Arabidopsis thaliana: one gene and its partners. The protein of the gene in region 2 interacts with the protein of the main gene of each other region in a biochemical or structural test. Each region holds a gene or a part of one and is shown on either strand. Other genes may lie near its edges. The genes, in order: ADK1, AT3G20650, IMPA-1 and HOG1.

The links.
Region 1: the proteins of AT3G20650 (region 2) and ADK1 form a complex in vitro, tested with the Arabidopsis thaliana proteins (one study listed by BioGRID).
Region 3: the proteins of AT3G20650 (region 2) and IMPA-1 form a complex in vitro, tested with the Arabidopsis thaliana proteins (one study listed by BioGRID).
Region 4: the proteins of AT3G20650 (region 2) and HOG1 form a complex in vitro, tested with the Arabidopsis thaliana proteins (one study listed by BioGRID).

Annotation. Positions count from the first base shown.
Region 1 is NC_003074.8:3,010,115-3,015,463, reverse strand, and holds ADK1 (adenosine kinase 1), read right to left. Parts: upstream 3,685-5,349; 5' UTR 3,343-3,684; coding exon 3,251-3,342; intron 3,145-3,250; coding exon 3,091-3,144; exon of another isoform or gene 2,820-3,090; coding exon of another isoform or gene 2,800-2,819; coding exon 2,753-2,799; intron 2,662-2,752; coding exon 2,630-2,661; intron 2,543-2,629; coding exon 2,441-2,542; intron 2,335-2,440; coding exon 2,267-2,334; intron 2,170-2,266; coding exon 2,093-2,169; intron 1,995-2,092; coding exon 1,897-1,994; intron 1,793-1,896; coding exon 1,722-1,792; intron 1,609-1,721; coding exon 1,542-1,608; intron 1,467-1,541; coding exon 1,283-1,466; intron 983-1,282; coding exon 840-982; 3' UTR 520-839; downstream 1-519. Other genes in the region: IDH-VI (isocitrate dehydrogenase VI), read right to left, coding at 4,394-4,585, 5,073-5,145, 5,232-5,341. UniProt on the Arabidopsis thaliana protein: ATP dependent phosphorylation of adenosine and other related nucleoside analogs to monophosphate derivatives. Essential to sustain methyl recycling.
Region 2 is NC_003074.8:7,220,220-7,225,774, reverse strand, and holds AT3G20650 (mRNA capping enzyme family protein), read left to right. Parts: upstream 1-1,684; 5' UTR 1,685-1,835; coding exon 1,836-1,911; intron 1,912-2,239; coding exon 2,240-2,379; intron 2,380-2,474; coding exon 2,475-2,543; intron 2,544-2,622; coding exon 2,623-2,694; intron 2,695-2,790; coding exon 2,791-2,892; intron 2,893-3,004; coding exon 3,005-3,061; intron 3,062-3,295; coding exon 3,296-3,434; intron 3,435-3,590; coding exon 3,591-3,655; intron 3,656-3,751; coding exon 3,752-3,802; intron 3,803-3,994; coding exon 3,995-4,057; intron 4,058-4,156; coding exon 4,157-4,280; intron 4,281-4,371; coding exon 4,372-4,433; coding exon of another isoform or gene 4,434-4,487; exon of another isoform or gene 4,488-4,514; coding exon 4,515-4,607; 3' UTR 4,608-5,042; downstream 5,043-5,555. Other genes in the region: OCT4 (organic cation/carnitine transporter4), read left to right, coding at 1-504. UniProt on the Arabidopsis thaliana protein: mRNA-capping methyltransferase that methylates the N7 position of the added guanosine to the 5'-cap structure of mRNAs. Binds RNA containing 5'-terminal GpppC.
Region 3 is NC_003074.8:2,118,665-2,124,694, reverse strand, and holds IMPA-1 (importin alpha), read right to left. Parts: upstream 4,352-6,030; 5' UTR 4,137-4,351; coding exon 3,927-4,136; intron 3,761-3,926; coding exon 3,664-3,760; intron 3,566-3,663; coding exon 3,474-3,565; intron 3,396-3,473; coding exon 3,264-3,395; intron 3,157-3,263; coding exon 2,971-3,156; intron 2,891-2,970; coding exon 2,727-2,890; intron 2,640-2,726; coding exon 2,561-2,639; intron 1,984-2,560; coding exon 1,855-1,983; intron 1,754-1,854; coding exon 1,626-1,753; intron 1,522-1,625; coding exon 1,140-1,521; 3' UTR 1,138-1,139; exon of another isoform or gene 1,128-1,137; intron 1,048-1,127; 3' UTR 529-1,047; downstream 1-528. Other genes in the region: TRX z (Thioredoxin z), read right to left, coding at 189-419; AT3G06710 (E3 ubiquitin ligase), read right to left, coding at 5,082-5,378, 5,488-5,928. UniProt on the Arabidopsis thaliana protein: Binds to conventional NLS motifs with high affinity in the absence of an importin beta subunit. Mediates nuclear protein import across the nuclear envelope in vitro in the absence of exogenously added importin beta subunit.
Region 4 is NC_003075.7:8,052,703-8,057,655, forward strand, and holds HOG1 (S-adenosyl-L-homocysteine hydrolase), read left to right. Parts: upstream 1-1,970; 5' UTR 1,971-2,228; coding exon 2,229-2,939; intron 2,940-3,227; coding exon 3,228-3,974; 3' UTR 3,975-4,004; coding exon of another isoform or gene 4,005-4,061; 3' UTR 4,062-4,450; downstream 4,451-4,953. UniProt on the Arabidopsis thaliana protein: Essential protein during embryogenesis.

The DNA of each region.
Region 1 (5,349 bases), 4.2 Mb from region 2:
ACTAATCCATACCACTTTGTCGTGTTGCTTACGCTTGCTGTGTTACAATTTGCGGTTTGATCCCGGTTTTGTACTTTTCGTATTGATATTATTCGCCTTCACTCAAATCTCGTAACTTCACGTACGTACCAATAGATGTTAAAACTAAAATGGATCAAATCATATTTGACTCGTGGCCTTTCCCATGCCAATTTATGCACAAATTCGTTTGATTAGTATACGTAGAAGATAAGAAAGTAGAACTGTACAAGTGAAGTAAAAGTCAAAGTTGTTGATATCGTCCAAAGTCAAAAGTCTTTTACGAGTCATACTGGTCCTACTTTACATTATCAAATACATCCAAAACGAGACATTATACTTGTCATTTCCATGATTCAATAGAAATTGTTCTATACATGTGCCGACACAAAAGATTCTGCAAATTTTCTTTGCATAGGAATGTCCAATGTTGTTTCGTTGAACCGAACCAAATAGAATTCGAACAGAGAAACTAGTTAATATAACAGTAATGTACATTATAGGGAATAATGATCATTCAATTATTTCATGAAATGAAGCAAGTTCAAACAAAAATAGAGGATAATTACATCCATGAAGATATAACAAGTTATGAACATTTTGACATTTGGAATATCATACTCGGCCTAGTATAGTAATAATATTTATTAATCATAAAAAGGTACAATAAAACCAAGCCAAAACACACACTCAATAATAGCTTAAAGCCTCAAAAGGTGATACAAGAAAACAACATAGAGTTTATTTGGGTCGTATAATAATAATCACCAAAATCTCATTCAGAGATAAAACTAAAAGGATGATTTGTGCGACTTCTAGATTTAGTTGAAGTCTGGTTTCTCAGGGTAAGTGCAACCAGACCTCTGGATCACTACGTTTGACGCGTAGCATCCTGCCCTCACACACTCTTCAATCCCCTTTCCGTGCACCAGCTGGGACAGAAACCCTCCCACAAATGCATCACCTATGAACACAGAGAACCAAGAGGGTTAAACCACCGGAATTAGTTTACTTGAGACTGATACAAAATGTATGATAATCTTCTTATTACAATATAACAAAGCAAACGGTTTGGTAAACCTGGATTTGGATAAGAGTTTTTATGCTATAATTAGATGAGTGGTTGATATCATCAAACAATAATAAGCTTTTAACTCTTAGCTATAAGTTAAGCTGTATCTAATCTAGGACGGAATGTAGCAAATTCGAGCTGCTGTGACTTAGTTAGAGTGCAGTTAGTGAGGCCTGAGTTCTTAACAAATACCTGCACCGTTGGTGTCAACAAGCTTCTCTTTGGGGAGAGGGATGACTGGGTACTTCTTCACTTTTCCATCCTCAGCGACAACCACAGGATCTGCGCCTTGTGTAATCACAGTAGTCCTCTTGTATGTTCCAGAGGCTTTGGGTAACTGGGACATCTTGATGGCTATTTGCTCAACATCATCAGTCTGTATAAAATATAACCAAACAGATTAATAAACTGTCTTTCTTCAAACAATACAGGGTGAAATTTCGACAGTTACCTCCCAGCCGTGAACCCTGGAGAAGGTTCTTGCCTCGGTCTCATTGCCAAAAATATAGTCCATGTACCTGGTCCAAGCAAGACATTAGATGCAGCGTCTTGCTTTTCAGTATATCGCCAGTGATTAGTTTAGGCAATTATAAGATGGAATAAATGGATCGAGAGATTAGGATGTGCTTACGGCAGGCACTTCTCCTGAACATCTTTGAAGAATTCACAGATGAATGGAGCAGAAAGGTTCATCGTGAACACCTGTCAAATATGTGAGCATATCAGGACTGTTCATGCCAAAGACAACACTGGTAGGAGAAACAAATCACTGTGCCTGGCTCTCATAAAGGATCATGTATTCATACCTTGTTGTTTGCAGCAGCATGTTCACGTACCAACTGAATGGATTCTGGTGATACCGTGAGGAAGAATCCAGCAATGTAATAAAACTTGGCCTTCTCAACTGCCAAGAAAGAAATATGTTTCACAAAATCTCAGATAACTCCAACATATGACAATATCCGATCTCAGAATAAAAAGGTCAGAAGATGAGTTTTGTACCCAGAGCCCAGTTCTCAGGCTTCTTCAAGTGTTCAACCTTGTAGCAATTAGCAGCAGAAAGATTGGCAATGAGCGATCTGCAAAAGGGGAAACACGCCTCAGTACAACTCAGCAGAAACACATCTTATTAAGACAAATGATAAGCAGACATAGAAAGAATTATTGTAAACTGACCTTTCTCCACCAAGAACACAGACACCGCAAGTTCCGGTAGGTGTTGCCTCATCTTCGTAATAGTGGACCTGGATACAGAACAAGCGCAGATTAACAGTCTATTTCCTGATGATTGAACATGAAGCAAAACCAACCACCAATAATTAATAATTGATAAACATAAAGCAGACTCACATAGACACCAGCTGCTGTAGCATCCTTCTTCATTGCCTCTCCGTATTTGTCCTTTCCAATGGATCCCATGTAACTGGTTGCCCCAGGAACTTGAAGCATCCACTGCAGTAATCAAAGATACCATTCATTTAGCAAAAAAAGGTACTAACTTCAAAACAAGTATGAGTAGAAACCGTAATTATCCTTTACCTGGGCCACTTTGATTGAGTTCTGGGTAGCACCTGAAAGCCAAACGAAATCAAGAAAATATCAAAAATACTGCAAATACACATGAACACCAAATGTCTATTGATAGCTCAAAAGATGAATTACCTCCAGCAATGTATTCAACATTGAACTTCTGGCTCATTTCATCGTACCTAAACATACCAATTATCATGTGAATAAACAAAGAGTATTTGAAAAATAATCACTGTCATATTAAAATCACATCAAGAATCACTTAAGGGCAATGAAAAATCACCACACTTGTGTCTGTTTCCCTTAAACATAGCACTTGTCACAATCAAATCATAATTCTTCTACGCAGATTACATATACATATCCACATCAATTACAGAACAACTTGAAGAGTAAATACTAATCAATCCTCATTATCACCATTTGAATTCAAATGCACGCTAGGATTGAGAAAAAGTGAATTCACTTACATGGGCAAATGTTTGTCCTCTGCGAGAATCGCATTGTTCAATTTGATGTCGTATCTGTCACGAATTCAAAAGAAAGCATTAGAATTCAGAGAACCCATAAAGAATATCGTAAACACAAACAATCTAGATCCGAGCGAAAACGATCCGGATCTGAGCTTACTTGTCGAGAAACTGTTGGTCGACGACGGCAGAGACGTCGAGGAGTGGGTTTCCCATTCCCAAAAGGATTCCATCGAAATCAGAGGAAGCCATGGATGATGATGTTAGAAGGATTTTCGAGGAAAGGGAAGAGGTTCAGATCTGGTAAATGGAGGAGCAAGTGTTTTGTGTGAGTGAAGTGTTTGTGTTTATAAGCTCTGAAACCAAAGTAGGTATACCAAAGATAGATTCTTCTTCTTCCTATTATTTTATATATATTATTTTTTAATGCATATTTATCTTTTTTTTTGGGCAAAATAATGTATATTTATATATTAGCTCAAAATCATGCATAAATTTGCCATTGGAATTTCTAATTCTATATTAAACCAAATTTTAGTATAGTTCATTTCATTCAACTTCATTTGTAGAGAAAAGTTAACTGAAACAAAATTTATGAGTAACGAAATAATTGATGAAATAGAGTAGTGTTGTTGTCAAATGCAGCTATATACGTCCCTATCCCACCAACCCACTTGAGAAAAGTGTCAACACATGTCCAAAAGTCTATTGGATCTTGTTGTAAGAACATAAAAATTCTAATTAAGTTGTTTCTTTAAGAGAGAGTTAAAAACAATGAGAAAACCAAATGTGACAGCATTGCAACTTACAAAATGAATAGGAAAAAGATTGAATTTGTCGGTGGCATTGAAAAGTCCTGAATCATCCACGTTGGTTTGTTTCAGCATTGAAAGTTTTCACTTTTCAGGGTTTGAGAGTTATGTATTCATTCATTCACAGAGAATAGGCAAACAATTTAGGTAAGGACAAAAGGGACGATATTATTATTGTTGAAAATTCACAGAGAATAAGACATAACGCCAAACAATTCAGGCAAAATCCACAAACTGTAAATGTGAACCTTTTGATGGATTCTTCCAATATCTGTATCCTTCTTTTGTTATGGATCTTAAAGGCAGAAGAAGTAATACAGCTCTGCAAGAACTTCAAATCTAAGGAAAACACAAGTCAATGTCTAAAGCCTATGGCGGCTTTGTTTCTCCTCATAGGAAGAGGATCAATATGTAGAAAAATTTTGGAGTGAAAATCCAAGAGGAAGATCCAATAAGTAAGTAAGGAAAGAATTATGGTTTTTCACGGGTGTTTAGAGATGATCACAGATGGCTTTTGTGAAATCTGTTGTAGTTGAGGAACCTCCGAGATCAGCAGTTCTATACTTTCCCTCGGCTATTGTGTTGATGATGGCACTGTGGATTTGCTCTGCTTGTTTGTTGAGCTTCAGGTGCCGCAACATCATCACTCCACTCAGTAGCAAAGCTGTTGGGTTCGCCAGGTTCTACACAACACCAGCAAAGAATAACAAACATGTGGATCATAAGCTAAAAATCGAATCAAGTTCTGATATTGAATAGTGGCAAGATAATATCTAAACCCACTGTATTTGAAAACATGATTTATTTATTAGACTCCTTAACCCTCAATGCTAGGTTGGCCAGTTATTAACATCATTCAAGTACTACAAGCACGATCATCCAGTAAGAACCATTCTACAATATAAACTAGACAATAATCCATTCTACAATGAAAGCTTCTGAATGTTCAACCAAGAAATGGCATAGAAGAGAGTAATGGAGAATCTTCTCTCAGGAACAGCTTCTATCATACTTAGTTTTAGGGTAAAAGTAGGCAAGTTCACTTAAATTTGTCAAAATCTGTAATGCAGTGTCTAAATCCTATTTACTCTAATAATTTAACAAGTTAACAACAACTCTATGCATCAAACGAATTTAGAACGATGATAACATCTAAGAATGATGACTAACCATTCCAGCAATATCAGGTGCAGAGCCGTGAACAGCTTCAGCAAGGGCAATACCATCCTCCCCAATATTCATACTGGAACAAAACATAATAAGAGCATAAGATGATTGCCTCATTTTCATACTAGACAATAATCTGTGAGACGAAGAAACAAATGTTACCTAGGAGTCAGTCCTAGTCCCCCAACAAGTCCAGCACACAAATCGCTGATAATATCTCCATAGAGATTTGGCATCACCAAGACATCAAAAAGTGCTGGGTTTTTCACAAGCTGTCAGA
Region 2 (5,555 bases):
TACCTCAACGTCTTTGTCAACGCGGTGTCGGAAATGCCGGCATTTGCTATAACCGCGGTTTTACTAGACAAGTACGGGAGGAAACCGCTGTCCATAGGGACACAGTGGTTCAGCTGCGTTTTCTGCCTCGTTGGATTCTCTGTATGGGGAGCTGGTCCATGGAAATCAGTTAGAATGGTGTCAGGGGTTTTAGGGATATTCGGGATGGCAGGAACGTACAATCTTCTGTTCATATACATCGCGGAGCTGTTTCCAACAGTGGTGAGGAACGCGGCATTGGGTTGTGCGACTCAAGCAGCTCAAATGGGAGCGATTCTGGCGCCGTTTGTGGTGGTTTTAGGGGAAGAGTTACCTTTTGGGGTGTTTGCGGTTTGCGGGTTAGTGGGAGGTGGGCTTGCGTTTTACTTGCCAGAGACGTTAAACAAGCCGTTGTATGATACAATGTTTGGGATGCACGAAGCTGAGAGTGAGAGTAACAGAGAAAGAGGAGAAGTAATATGTTAAAAGAAACAGAATTTACACTTAGACATGGAGAGACACAAGTCAAGATCTTAGAAAATAGGTGTTTTTGAAATGTCGAATTGTTTTTGTAGTCTTACATGTTTCTTCGCTTTAACAGAGATAACATTGATTTTGCATTAAAGTCTATGGGTCTTGAAATGGTGGTACATGTTAACAGAGATAACATTGATTTTACTACCACAAACAATAAGCATTGTAATGCACGGTAAATACAAACCAATATTGCTTGCAAGAGAAACAAAGAAGTTAATCGGAAAGTGAAGATTGAACCAATTTTGCTTGCTAAATAATGAGGAAACGACTTATTTGTTATGAAATGATGGATTCTCATACTCTCCCTAGAACCGGAGGAGGCTTAACATCTTCAGCAACAGGAGAGGCTCCATTAACGTTGAATCCACCTCCAAGCGTGGGATGAATTCATTTTTTGACAAAAAAAATTCATACTGTATAGTGTATACGCTTGCAAATCCAAAACTATTCCTCCTTCTTACACAGACTAAATTACTTCCATGTTTTTATGGTTTTTGCCATGAGAGTATGGGACCATTGCATAGGCATATAAAGTTTTGATCGTATTCTTAAACCTTTTTTCATTTTTATGAAATATTTATGGATAGGTTATCATCGACGTGAAATTACAAGAACATTTAAAAAGAAGATAATCATAGTATGTTGTCATGCACATAAAATTAGTTTTGATGGCAAAATACCAAATATCATAGACTTGTTACGGTGTTACCAGTACGTAGCACTATCAATGCCATTCCCATGAAAATAAACATGTTGTTGGTATCAAATTCTCTAGTATTATTGAATTGAAGTTTACACTAATAATGTGATTGTCAAAAACTATGTTAATGTTATGAACTCTTTTACCAGTATTATTCTATCCTGAGGTCTTCTTTTATATTTTTTTGTTTCACAAATATATAATTAATTTTACGAAAAGTAACAGATCAGGTTCCATGGCCCAATGGATAAGGCGCTGGTCTACGAAACCAGAGATTCTGGGTTCGATCCCCAGTGGAATCGTTCTACATCGTTACCTTTTTTTTACCGGCCAAAATAATTTGTCGCCTCCGACTCGGAGCGGCGTGAAACAAGCCGCAGCCGCAAGCTAGTAAAACATAATTAAACCAAAATTTTGCTTTTTGCCAAAGAAACACAAACAAATCTTTGATTTAAGAAATCCCCAACTCCAAATCTTTTCTCCTTTATTTGGTTGTCTTAATTGGGTTCTTATTATTGAAGTACATCAAAGAGTTGCAGATAGAGAGAAACATTCGGTAACAAACATCTGAACTGTTGTTATGAAACGAGGATTCTCCGATTCTCCTTCAAGCTCTGCTCCTCCTCCTTCTTCCAGATTCAAATCTAATCCCGAAGGTTTCGTTTCCCTCTCTTCCTCCTCTGTTGATTCGATTTGTGTTCCACAAGGGTTTATTGATGATCCCTCCCTTGCTAGTTCCTTCTTTGTCCCTGAGAGTTGCTTTTGTTTGCCCGTTGGAAAAAGTTTCCTTCTTTATAGTTTCTATCAAGCTTTTCATTCTGATAGAGTGTTAACTGTGTGTTTGCTGTCTTGTTGGAGTTTTAGTTCTTAAGCTTTTACTTTGGATTCTATGGTTTTAATTGTTTAAAGTCTGTTTCTTTAAGCAATCGTTTCGCCAAAATGACTATGATTGTGTAAAGCTTAAAGTCAGATTCTGTCTTTCAGGTGATTCTCAGTTTCTGGAAGATGAGACTACAAAGAATTTTGCCCGGAAAGTTGCTGATCATTACAGTAGGAGAACAAACCAAACATTGGAAGAGCGAGAAGCTAGTCCCATCATTCATTTGAAGAAACTTAACAATTGGGTTGGTTACTCTTTAACATCTCTCTCTGTCCGTGAAACTTGTTGTATTATGATAATTCAATTTTGTTCCTCTTTTTCTTATTCTTATACAAACAGATTAAAAGTGTTTTGATCCAGCTTTATGCTCGTCCTGACGATGCTGTTCTCGACCTTGCCTGTGGGAAGGTTCTTGACTTAAAACAATCTTATTGTTCATGTCAATTGTTATTTCTCAAAACTAATCTCATTGTAATGCTTTTACCAGGGTGGTGATTTGATCAAGTGGGATAAGGCGAGAATCGGGTACTATGTTGGAATTGATATTGCTGAAGGGTCGGTAAGTTTACTGGCTGAATGATAGCTGTATCTTTATTTTGCATATATGTTTTATCTCTATACCTGAGAAGTGCTTCTATGTTGTACTTAATAACAGATTGAAGATTGTCGCACGCGTTATAACGGTGATGCAGACCATCATCAACGGCGTAAAAAGTTCAGTTTTCCGTCTCGATTATTATGTGGGGATTGTTTTGAGGTATAATGAGCTAAGCTCCTCTAGTAGTTTAGGAATCTTGTTGACATGGTATAATGAGATAAGTTCCTCTAGCTTCACTATTTGTAAATCCTAATTGTGTAATTGCTTACAGGTAGAGCTAGACAAGATTCTTGAAGAGGATGCCCCTTTTGATATCTGCAGTTGCCAGGTTTTATATGTTTCAATCTCCTTTCTGTTTTAAAGTACATATCCGGTCAAGTTTGAACAGTTTCAGATAAACTATTTGGTTTTACTAGTCACGAGACTCTACTTCGGCTTTGTAACTAGGTTGTGCCAAAATTAGTTTTTCCCACTGGCATATTGAAGTTGTAGCGTGGTTGAAATATAGTTAGTTGTGTAGTTATGGATTCTAAAGTTACCAAGTCATTGTTTAACTGTGTAGTTTGCTATGCATTACTCATGGACTACTGAGGCACGTGCACGACGAGCTTTGGCAAATGTTTCAGCTTTACTTCGTCCAGGAGGTGTCTTTATCGGAACAATGCCAGATGCCAATGTTATTATAAAAAAACTCAGAGAAGGTTATTTTCGTTTTCCTTCTTTGCTTAGAATTTGATCTGTGATCCTCTGAAAATTGAGTTGCTCTAGTTTCTCCTATACATTTTGTTCTAGTTTCTCCTCAGTGCTTCTGGGTTTTTGGAAATTAAACTGTTATTTGTTGTATACTGAATACGCAGCTGAAGGTTTGGAGATTGGTAATAGTGTTTACTGGATTCGTTTTGGTGAAGAGTATTCCCAAAAGGTGACCTTTCTTTGTCCTTAGTTTTGACTTTATCCGTTTTCCGGAAAGTCCTTTCTTTCCTGGTTCTAATGATGAGTTTCTCGTTGTATGGTTCAGAAGTTCAAATCTAGCAGCCCATTTGGTATCGAATACGTGTTTCATCTCGAGGTACCTAATTTATCTACAGTATTCTTGAGATATTCACTTAGTCTACCGCAGAAACTTAAGCATTGTAAAGGAAACTATATCTGTGTAAATATATTGTAAGAACACGACTACCTATTAAATGGAGATTCCAGAAACTTCCCTTGTCATGTTTGCTGTTAAAAAGAAAATATAACATAGGAACTTGTATTGTAGGATGCTGTTGATTGTCCTGAATGGATTGTGCCCTTTAACGTCTTCAAGTCTTTAGCGGAGGAGGTAAATACTTGATGCAGTGTTAACGTGAAAACCTTCTAATTGCTAAAAACACTGGTTCATATTTGTGAGTGTGACATTGTCCCATGAATTTTTGGATAGTATGATTTAGAGTTGGTATTTGTGAAGAACTCCCACGAGTTTGTCCATGAGTATATGAAAAAGCCAGAGTTTGTCGAACTCATGAGAAGGCTTGGTGCTTTGGGTGATGGTAGCAATGATCAGAGTAAGTCTTTGTTCGATTCTTGCTTCATATCATCCTTTTGATTCTAACCAAATGCGAGATAACAAAACTAACTTGATTAGTATCTTTCCAGGCACATTATCAGCTGATGAATGGGAAGCTGCATATTTATACCTCTCTTTTGTCTTGAGAAAGGTTTGTCTCCTTTTTATCATCTTTCAATCTTCACCTTTCCTGCTTCGTCGGTAATGTCTATTTAACGGGTGGATTTTATAGAGGGGAGAATCAGATGGAGCTCGAAGGAGCGGGCGGAGGAAGAATGGGAAAATGAACTTGTCGAAAGATGATGTTTTGTATATCGATAGCTGAAGTGTCAAAGAGTGTTTCTTTTACTCTTAGAGTCTCTGTTTTTGGTCTCACTTCGTTGTCTTACGTTTTTGGCCATTTGAATTGAGAGATTGCATTACTTTAGAAAAATCTGATCCGTTCACAAGAAAGAAGATGAGAAGAAGCCAAATAATATTATAGTCGTTGAACACTTGTGTTTTCAAGTGTATAGGCTTTGATATACCATCAGGATGATGAACATGGTTACCATCATGATCATTATTCATGATTTGTATTGTGATGTATTCGTAGCGTACTTTGTTTAACAAGGTCCATGCCTTTTTATTTGTATTACTATCTTTTGGGATTAGGTCGAGTTTGAACTAGAGGAAATTGAGAAAAATTTCAAGCTTTTGTTATGTTACTACTCTCTTAGTTTTTGATGTCAGTTTCTCTTTCTTTTACACTAAAAAGACGCACGATTGACGAGTTTTCTGTTTGTCCTTACAACAATCTCTTACGTAGGTAGAACAAATACAAGAAAGTTTCTAATAGAGCTTAAACAATTGAGAGATCAAACAAAACTTAATCACTACTTGTTTGTCTTTTGTCTCCTTAATTCCACAAGGGAGAGACTTGAAAGCATGTTCTTCCACACAAAGGTGTCGAGTGTACTTTCTGATCAAGAACAAAGTCGGTCGAGCATGTGACTTTGTTTGGTTCTTGTTTTTTGTGTGAAACATTCAGTTTTTGTTCATGTCTTTTGCAATAGATTTAACCAATCGAAGCCTCTGGTTGAACTAGTGTGCTCTACTTTTCTTTTATGGATTTGTGTTTCTTTAATTTTCGGTTAAAACCCGAAAAATATATCACGAGTAGATGTCTCTTAAATTAGAGATGAAACCAAAGAGCCTAAATTAAAAACACATCTGATTAACAGAACCTGTAGATAAGAACTGAATTACTTTATGTAAACTAATTGATACCAAT
Region 3 (6,030 bases), 5.1 Mb from region 2:
GTACTGGTCGAATCTTTGATAGAACTACCATATATCGTTCTTATATAATAACTACATCTATGCCCAGCCAACTTAATTTCCCAGAAAGGCGAAAAAGGAAGTCGTAAAACGAAAACAAACATGAAATTTTTTGAAATCGACAAAATATGTTGTTTGGAGCGTGAGAGAAAGCGAGAAATTGTCCGTACCACAAGATAATCTTCTCTGACAAACTTGCCGCGAGGCGGAGGACAGAGAAGCTTTCGCGGACGCGTCAACGGCGAGAAGGGCAAGTTTCCGGCGGTGGAGGAGGAGAACGGCGCGGCTACCGGTCGGATTTCCCTCCGGATAAAGAGAGAAGACGGAGCATGGAGGGAGGATAGAATCGGCGATAACGGAGTGTTGAGGTGTGGAAAAGTTCTGGATTGAACAAGAGCCATTTTGGAAATCGATTTCTGCTTCAAAATGATTTCAGTTTTAGCTTTTGAGGGGTTTTAGACGATAAGGCAATTGAACTGGACATATACTAATAGTTCATTAGTTCTTGTCTTTTTACAATTTACTTGCTCAGGTAAAGTCAAATTCATAATAATTTATTGCTGTTTTATGTATACTTTACTTCATAATTCAAATAAAGATTCGAGTCTTTATAACTCGAAGATAAACCCTTCCTTAGGTTTGACCAAAAAAAAAAAAACCTTTCCTTAGGAAATCAGACACCAAACATATTAAGACCAATAAAGGGTTTATGGTTTCAATTTTTTAACCGACATACAAACTGTTGTCAACACAAAAACAAAAGACTCCACTGTAAGTTTTTATAACCCTCCAAAATTTAAAAACAACACAAAGGTCGACTCACGACCGGTGTACCAGTCATTTCAAAAAAATAGCCCTGGACAATGAACCAAACACTTTCTCAGACGCTGTACTTTTAAACCGACCACCCGGTACAAACCTCTGAGACCAGACCAGACCAGACCTGGAGTATAACCATGGCAGTGAAACTAGACTCTGACTGACTCTGACCTTTCACCATTCTCAAGTTGCAAGCTTCCAATTCCATTCCTGTGGGTTTATATTGATCTAAATATCAGATTTTGCATGTTTTCATCAAGAGACGTTGTTAGAAATTTAAGAATTTTTACTTTTATTTACCTTCAGCTGAAGTTGAATCCTCCGGATGGTACTGGAGCTTGATTCCCTCCAAACTGGAACCCAGCCTGAGAACCATCAACACCTGGAGGTTGCTGTGTCTCATCATCTTCCTCTTCAAGCCAGTATGTCTCCAGAATTTTAACAGCCTTCTCATAGATCTCATTGTTGTCATGGCTCTGAAGGTTCTCGATCTTTTCTAGCCCTTCTGCATCATCAATCAGCTGAGCGTAATAGTTCATGTCTCCTGTGTGACCCAAGTTCTTCTCTGCCTCTCCCACCTTCAAAATGTTTTCCAATCCTTCAAGGCAGACAGTTATGATTCTTGGATCTGGGCAAACCAGGAGATCGCATAATGGTTTTATGCACCCTTGCTCCACCAGGTATCTGTATAACCAACGGGAACAGAACATCAATATATATATACACAAAGTATATATATGAGAGAAGAAACTGGAAGTTAGAGGAACGCAAAAAAGACAGTGACATACTTTATTTGATCATGAGAACCACCTGAAGTTGCATTTGAAATTGCCCATGCAGCTTCCTTCTTAATGTCAAATTCAGCATTTTGAAGCAGACTCACCAACGGGGAAATCAAATTAGCCTCAACTACCGTCTGCAACCATCAGGGGAAAAACAACACAATTAATGAATAGGTATAGAAGTCTGGATGGGAAACGGTACAAAACATATGATGAAACAGTACTAATTGCCTACCTGGATCTGATCTTTGTTGCCTGCTGTGATGTTTGAAATCGTCCAGCAAGCTTCCTTCTTTATGCTTTTCTTATGGTTTTGAGTGAGCAGGTTGGCAAGACAAGGTAGAGCACCACTATTGATCACGCACTGGAGAAGAAGTAAAATCAGATTTCCAAGTAAAACGATGTAAACTATTTCAGATATAGAAAAATCACCTTTGCTAAACTCATGAAAAACCAAATTTCACCAAGCAAAAAATTTGTGCATGTTGTTGGTTTAAACTTTAAAACAAGAATTAATTGTAACAAAACTCAAACACAAGCAATATATAGCAAAAAAGGCACTGCATCCTATCTGCTAATATGGACAGAGTGGCAACAGAGGGAGAATCTCATGATAAGCATTCAATACTCCCATTTTTCACATAAAATGTTGGATATGAATAATAGCAACAGGGTGCCATACATTTGAACAACACCTCATCGCAATTACCAGTCTTGGATTAGATGATATGCATGGTATATCACTAACTTCGACATGTTTTTGCTATCGGTTCAATTAATGAAAAGTTCTAGTGGTATCTTCAGACCTATTCCTAAAGGCCAAAGAATTGCATAACCACAAAGATATTCTTTGGCATAGTAGGAAAAATATATACTATCATATACAATGTGCAAAACCGAAATACTGTGAGAAATTCAATAGACAGGATTTAGATCCATACCTGTGTTTGTATATCATCTCCAGTAACTATATTTCCAACAGTGCGAAGAGCAGGAATTAGCACAGATGGAGAATGATGGCTAAAAATCAAGAGCAAGGTATCAAGTTATTTGTCAACAAATGTGTGAAGTGGACATGAAATAAGGGAATTATAAAATGGTACTGACAGGAGAAGTTCAACAAGTTTTGGGACAACACCGGCCTGGATGACAGTCTGGATTTTGTCATTGGTCCCATCAGAGAGGTAAGAAAGAGCCCAACAGGCATCTGTCAAGACTTCTTCATCATCTGAATGAATTAGTCGTTCAAGGGCGGGAAGAGCAGGTTTGACCTGTTAAACATGCTTCATATGTTAGAAGAATACTAGACATAAACATTGACGAAACAAGCTTGGAGGGGAAAAAAATAGACCTGGTCAAAGTGAGGCTGAGGCTTGCCACGACAGAAGTTTGACAAGGTCCAAGTGGCATTTCGAAGCATGGACAATTTAGCATGCTCATTAAGCTGATTGAGCAGCGGAAGCAGTGCCCCACATCCAAGAACAAGATCACGGCACCGTGGTGAATCACCAGCAACGTTACCCAAAGCCCATACAGCCTGCAGGTTAGAGCGAAATCTTAAGATCAGGGTTTCACAAAATTTTCAATTGCATAATCTCTCATAATAAATGAGAAGACATTCTGTAGTCATCAGAAGTTCCATACCTGTTCACGAACATCATCGCTAGGGGAAGCAAGAAGCTGAACAAAGATTGGAACAGCATTGTGATCGATTACAACCTTAGTGTGATCCGATGTTCCAGATGCAATGTTTGTTAGAGCCCAAGCTGCCTCAAACTAAAATAAAAATCATAAAAGATGAGAAGAGAAGATTACAGTGAAGAATGAATCAATAAGAGACATTAATTATCTCACCTGAATGGCGGGGTAATCTTCTTTCTTAAGAAACTCAACAAACCTAGGAACAACACCAGCACTTATCACTTCCTCGATTGGAGGACTTCTCTCTATGCAATTATAATAGAGACAGAGAGACAAAAGTTAAAGGGGACACTCCAAATTATATCAAAACGGGAAATAAAAGAGAATTAAGAAAAGGAATTACCAATAGAGAGAAGCTTCCTGAACTGAGTAGTGGACTCAAGCTGCAAGGCAGGGTCATCGGACCAAACCCCAGCGACCATATCCTTCAGACTATCCAACTACAAATGTTTTTTTAAAGCCAATCAATCACAAGACAACTACCGTAACCAGAACCCAAAAACGAAACCCTAAAACCTCAGTAAGCCGACATGAAAATCACAAACAAAAACCTAGAAAACCGACAACAAGGAGTACAATCGAATCATCTAAAAACCAGAATTGTACCTTCTTATCGACGGAGGCGGCGGAAGCTGAAGGGAAACCCTGAAGAGCTTGCATACCTTCACGTCTCTTCTTCATCAAACTCTCCTCACGCTTGCTTTTACGGATCTCAACCATGTTGTCTTCTCTCCTCCGTCGTCCTTCCTCCGCATCCACTGCAACTTTGTATCGGTTCCGGCGAACCTCCGTCTTAGCGTTGGGTCTCAGTGACATGGCTCTTGCTCGACAAAGAAAATCCGATGAAAAGATATAAACCCGATCAATGAATGCACACAAGCACACGCAAAGACTGGTCTGTGTATTATATAGATCCTGCCGAGAGCAAATAAATTATAATTATAAAAAAAACCTAAAAATTGATTTGGGAGTGGAAAAGTGATAAAGAAAGAGTTAAGAAGCAGAGGCAGCGAGGGACAAGTTGACAACAGCGCATCCAAAGAATGAAAGCACTTTTTTATTTATTTTTAATCTTTGTTCTTAATTTATACTGTAATTGCTAAAATATTCACTTATTTACAGTTTTGCCACTATTTATTTATGCAAACAGGTGTCCACAATTAGGTTATTTACATAATTAGCCCCTTACTATTGTGTTCTTTGAGGCAAGCTAATGTATTCTTCTTTATATCTCAACAATTTGAAGATCCTTTTGTTTTCATGACTTACAAGTGGACTGCGATTATCTTAATATTAACGTATATAGACCTTGGTTACTATATAACTTTTTGAGTTTTGAATCTACGTTTGTGTTTATACATTTTTTCCTTTCCAATGAAAAGTCGTTGTTTGTCATATATGGATTAGTTATTTCTCTCTAGCGAGATATCCTCAGTCAGATTGTCCACTCTTTAACCGACTACATACCGATCATCGAAGACCAACCTATGAAAGTAACTGACGAGATCATAAGTTTGCTTGGCCATGAACCAGACCGCAATCAAGGCTAACAACGCCGGCCAGATAAACGGCTCAATAGCTGGGTTGGCGCTACGGGAAAATCCAAGCAGAGGTAACAAAGACTTCAAGAGCAAGTAAGGGATGCAGAGTGTGGCTAGAAGTGTGGTTATGATCGAACCAATCACATCTTGAAGCAGCCACATTGAAGGAAGCTTATTGATTCCCACGTTTCTGATTCTCTTGAACTTTCCCCGCCATGCCTTAGTCGCGAAACAGTTGACAGGAAACGAGATTTTTGCTCAGGAGGCAGGACAGTTTCTTTGTTATGAAGTGATATCCCAAGGAAAACCACCTGACTATGGCTGGAAACGAGATTTGACGCAGAGTGAGGAAAATTCCTAAGTAGGCAAAGGGAATTGACAGCGTCATCATGTATCCAAGAATGACAGGTGAGTTTTCGAATAAACCGCCACCTCCTACAATTGCTATTGCAATCCAGCGAAAAGAAAACGGCAGAAGAATAAAGAAGAAAGACACACATATGCTGATGGTAAGAGCCTGTAGATAAGATAACAAACAGAACCTGTTATTCAAAACATGCTCCATATGGTAATTAAGTTACATAGGGTGGACGAAGGAAGAGAACTAGAAGGGACATTAGACTTACATCAAAAGATTTGTTATCCAGAAAGAAAAGCAGCCGTCCAATGGCTCCAAGTTCGTGAACAGCAACACCAACTAGCCTAGGAGGTTCCCCGAAGAAGCTTTGCAATAGAGAATAATACCACTCACAAACGATCTTGTTATATTTCCATAAAACAAGCACAAACCCATCTCCTAAGACATTCTTAATCAAGATGTCAGCCTGAAACCCAGCAGGATGTCTCGCGATAATGGGCTCGTGTATGGGTATCCTCATGAAAAACACAAGATGACCGTTGTATAACAGGCCATTTAAGAAACATGCGGACTTGGTAGACATTCCATAATCTCTCTTGAACCCAACAACAACTTCTTGGCCCAAAGGATGTAAAGAAAGGCAGTATGTGTTCAAGATAAACGCCATAGCCCAAGGAACAACCATTCTCACGTAAGGTGATGCTCTCATTAACACAAACACGTATTAGAAACTCGTGAACTGGAAGTCTCTCTGGAGCGTCCTACAATGAAAACAGAGAGCATTTCATCAAACATTTGGTGTGCGAGATTC
Region 4 (4,953 bases), on a different chromosome or scaffold from region 2:
TTGACTCCGAATCTCACTTATAAGTTGTAATAATAATGTTCATTAGTGCATTAGTTTCCTCCTTCGTTGCCCAACAAAAGAATAAGCTATCATTGACAGTTTTATGATATTCGGAGTTCCAAAATCATTTTTCGAAACTCGGCCTTTTAAGGCATTTGGATCAAAACTTCGGTGCATATACTAAAAACATATGGATATATCGGGTTGAGTCGCCTCGTAGAATTCCTCGAGAAGATATATATTTTGACTTGGTGCTGGCCATTTGTAAGAATAGCATAAGCCACCAGTCACCAAGATTATTCATCGTAAATTGTAACAAACTCACCATTATTTGGAGAGCCCAAAGATACTACTCAATCTTCTTACCATAAACTTTTGTCACTGTCTTATAAGCTATAAGATTACTGGTCTACTTAACTCAGAAATATTTATGTCCTTTGTAGCCAAAAGCTACACTGAAATTGACACAACTCGAGTGTTGTCCTTTTCTGGTCGATTGAATAGAATCGAATGTCTTAATCCAGTACCCTCCAGCTTTTATTTCGTGTAATTTATTTTCCAAACCTACCACTACCAGTTTCATAACTCTCGAATAAATTTATCAAATAGTCTTTTGAGTGCTCAAAGTCTTGGGATAATAAATGGTCAGTGCTATGTATCACCCGGATGTGAAACATTATGGGTGGAGATAGACTATTATAAATTTATTGAAATATACGATTGTTACTCGTTTAATAGCAAAAGTAGTACAATGTATATAGTTTCTATCGAGAACAAGATCTATTTAAAATTCGAAAAGTACATTTAAAATTCATAAACATATAAAGATAGTAACATGTTAGATCTGCATAGTACCACCAAAACAAGAAAAAAGAAACGCACATCGCCACATAATTGCTATGATTCTCACTGTCGGCTGCTTTGAAATATTACGATTCTTTTGGTAAATCACACAACATAATATAATTACAATAAATATATATATACTAAAGTATAATTAATATAATTAATACCACATTGTTTAATTCTGTTTTGATCTTTTAAGATCAGTCAGATCCACCGACGTTCCTACACGCGCAGGTCCAGATCCAAACAGCACACACACACACACAATGCCACTAGTGTAAATGCTTGGTGGCTATTGCATTTGCACCTATTGATACTCTTTCTTCAAAAACAAGTTATTGTTTTTATTTTCAACCCAACTTTAATACGGATTCATACTGGGATTTAGGTGTTAAATCTGATAATTTAGGTTTGAATAAGTTGTATATTTGTTTCTTTGATTAAAAAAAGAACCTATATATATACAAAAATAAATAAAAAGTTCTAGATTTCAATTTTCCGTATATAGCGGGTTGAATTGTCTATTTTAATATGAAAATTGACGGATCTTATAAACAAAATGTTCTGAAATATGTAAAAGGATTTAGCCAAAGTTAACCAAAAAAAAAAAACAAACAGAAAAGTCACATTCACATGTCGTGGTAGATCTAAGGCATTAATTTAGAAATATGTCGTTACAATAAGCGGAGAACATGGGACGTTTCTCGTGGTCCAATCAGACGAACGAGATCTCATAAATTAAATGACTTCAGACGAGGGAATTCATGGCAGAATGATAATGCAACTTAAGTGACTTTAGAGTGAAAATGATACGAGAACAATGCATAATCCATATGACCGTTGAGTGAGTGATACCATTAGCGCGATACAAGCGGGACTATAAACTGATCTAGATTGTTTTTCTTGGGAAAAAATGTTACAAATTTTAAATATGTAGTTTGAATTGTTAAACCAAGATTCAACAGAAATATACCGTAAATAAACAACAGTTGATAATAGTCATCGAAAAGATATCAACTGATTCTTCACTTGGGCTACTGTGACGGCCCGTTAGGGTTCTCAATATAAGTCAATAACTACGATCTACGATTCACTGAAACAAATAAAACACAGCCACGTGTCCACCCTCCCACATCACCGTCCGATCTAACCCACGACAAGCTTACAACACGGGTCATACCGCTCGTGCAGCGTGTTCCGTCATCCACGGGATTACAACTTCTACCAGATCCACCAAACCCTCAAAACAATCTGAACCGTTCATTTCATTTTGACCTCATCTATATATTCTCTGTCACTCCCTTTCTCTTCTCCTCGCACACACTTCTCTCTCTCTCTCTCTCTGCCTCCTTTCGGATTCAAATCTCAGATCTAGCTCAACCATGGCGTTGCTCGTCGAGAAGACCTCAAGTGGCCGTGAATACAAGGTCAAAGACATGTCTCAAGCCGATTTCGGTCGTCTCGAACTCGAGCTCGCCGAAGTTGAGATGCCTGGACTCATGGCTTGTCGTACCGAATTCGGACCTTCTCAGCCATTCAAAGGCGCTAGAATCACCGGATCTCTTCACATGACCATCCAAACCGCCGTACTCATCGAAACCCTAACTGCTCTCGGTGCTGAAGTCAGATGGTGTTCCTGCAACATCTTTTCCACTCAAGACCACGCCGCCGCAGCCATCGCTCGTGACTCCGCCGCTGTTTTCGCCTGGAAAGGTGAGACTCTTCAGGAGTACTGGTGGTGTACCGAGCGTGCTCTAGATTGGGGTCCAGGTGGTGGTCCTGATCTGATTGTTGATGATGGTGGTGACGCTACTCTTTTGATTCATGAGGGTGTTAAAGCTGAGGAGATCTTTGAGAAGACTGGTCAAGTTCCTGATCCTACTTCTACTGATAACCCTGAGTTTCAGATCGTGTTGTCTATTATCAAGGAAGGTCTTCAAGTTGATCCTAAGAAGTACCACAAGATGAAGGAGAGACTTGTTGGTGTCTCTGAGGAAACTACCACTGGTGTTAAGAGGCTTTACCAGATGCAGCAAAATGGAACTCTTTTGTTCCCTGCCATTAACGTTAACGACTCTGTCACCAAGAGCAAGGTATTGATCTTCAGATTTGTTTCTTTACTAGTGATGATAAATCTGCTAGGTCTTTAGCTCTGTAGTTTTTGATGCGATAGGCTTAACAACAACATAATCACTAAGTAGAAGCAAGCTTTTCATTGTTGGTTGTTGAAAGTATTACGATCTAGTAGAGAAAAGTCCTTCCTTGGTTACAGAATTTGCATGAAAAGTCAATATTTCTCATGCTTTCTTTGATTTTATATTCAACGTTTTGTTTACACTTATGTGCTGTTACTGATAAATTCATTTGTTCTTGATTTACAGTTCGACAACTTGTATGGTTGCCGTCACTCACTCCCTGATGGTCTCATGAGGGCCACTGATGTCATGATCGCTGGAAAGGTTGCTGTTATCTGTGGATATGGTGATGTTGGAAAGGGTTGTGCTGCTGCCATGAAGACTGCTGGTGCTAGAGTCATTGTGACTGAGATTGATCCCATCTGTGCCCTTCAAGCTTTGATGGAAGGACTTCAGGTTCTTACCCTTGAGGATGTTGTCTCAGAAGCTGATATCTTTGTCACCACCACCGGTAACAAAGACATCATCATGGTCGACCACATGAGGAAGATGAAGAACAACGCTATTGTGTGCAACATTGGTCACTTTGACAATGAGATTGACATGCTTGGACTTGAGACTTACCCTGGTGTGAAGCGTATCACCATCAAGCCACAGACTGACAGGTGGGTGTTCCCAGAGACCAAGGCTGGAATCATTGTCTTGGCTGAGGGTCGTCTGATGAACTTGGGTTGTGCCACTGGTCACCCAAGTTTCGTGATGTCTTGCTCTTTCACCAACCAGGTGATTGCCCAGCTCGAGCTCTGGAACGAGAAAGCAAGCGGAAAGTACGAGAAGAAGGTGTACGTTCTTCCCAAGCATTTGGATGAGAAGGTTGCATTACTTCACTTGGGCAAGCTTGGAGCCAGGCTTACAAAGCTGTCAAAGGACCAATCTGACTACGTCAGCATTCCAATTGAGGGACCATACAAGCCTCCTCACTACAGGTACTGAGAGAGAGAGAGAGTCGACAAAGCGGTTCAGGTTCGGATCTACTTGTGGTTTTGTGTTGGGTTGTGGTGGGAGAGTGGAACAGTTTGAGATATTGGTCTTCTGATGAAGTTGACCAAATATCAGTATTAATAAGGGTTATTGGCTTTTGAAGGTTGTGCTTGTTTTCTCCATTTTTCATGAAACTTAAATTAGTTTTTGGTTTAGTTTCCCTCTTGATTTTATTTTGTGTGTTCTGTTTAGCGTTGTACTCTTCAAACAAATGAGAAACCAAAAAAAAAGGGGAAACTTGTTTTCGGCATCCCAGTGTTAGCGACTTTTGTTGAATGAATGTCTCAAATGCTCATCTTTAATAATGTGTGTTAGGACACGAACAACACATGGTTCGATTCGTGGGGGATTTTATGGTTGTAGTTATTATCGTACACGTTTCAAAGTTCTCTTAAGTATTCAAAAAGGCTTTTCCAATATAAATTTTTGATAGCATTTAGCTATAAGATTCGTTTTCATTTTCTTCAATTCTATGTCATCACTGATAAAATCTGCTTTGAAAATTTCAAAATTTATTACTTTTGCAAGAAGAATGTGAACGTTCCTACAAAGAGAGGGGTAGAAAATAAAAACTGGACTCGAAGTAGGAACCCAAACCCGACTGAAAATACTCAAGAGTCCAAGCCCGTTCTAGATAAATACCAAAATGGGTCTTAAGGCTTGGTATTCGGGTACATGATAATATCTGATCCGAACTGAAACATGAACTGTTTACCCGAAACCAGTGGCGGAACTACGTAGGGGGCAGGTTAAAATTCAAAGTGGTGAACGAGTACGGCCTCGAGAGTTTATGGAGTAAGATTCGAATTAGCGTTTCCTACGAAACGCATGAAACCAGTACGTTCGACCAAGAATGATGAGGAGGTTCTTCTGGTTCTCGATGCAAACTTGGGCTTGTACAACTTTGAGTGTAGTACTTGAGAGGAATTAA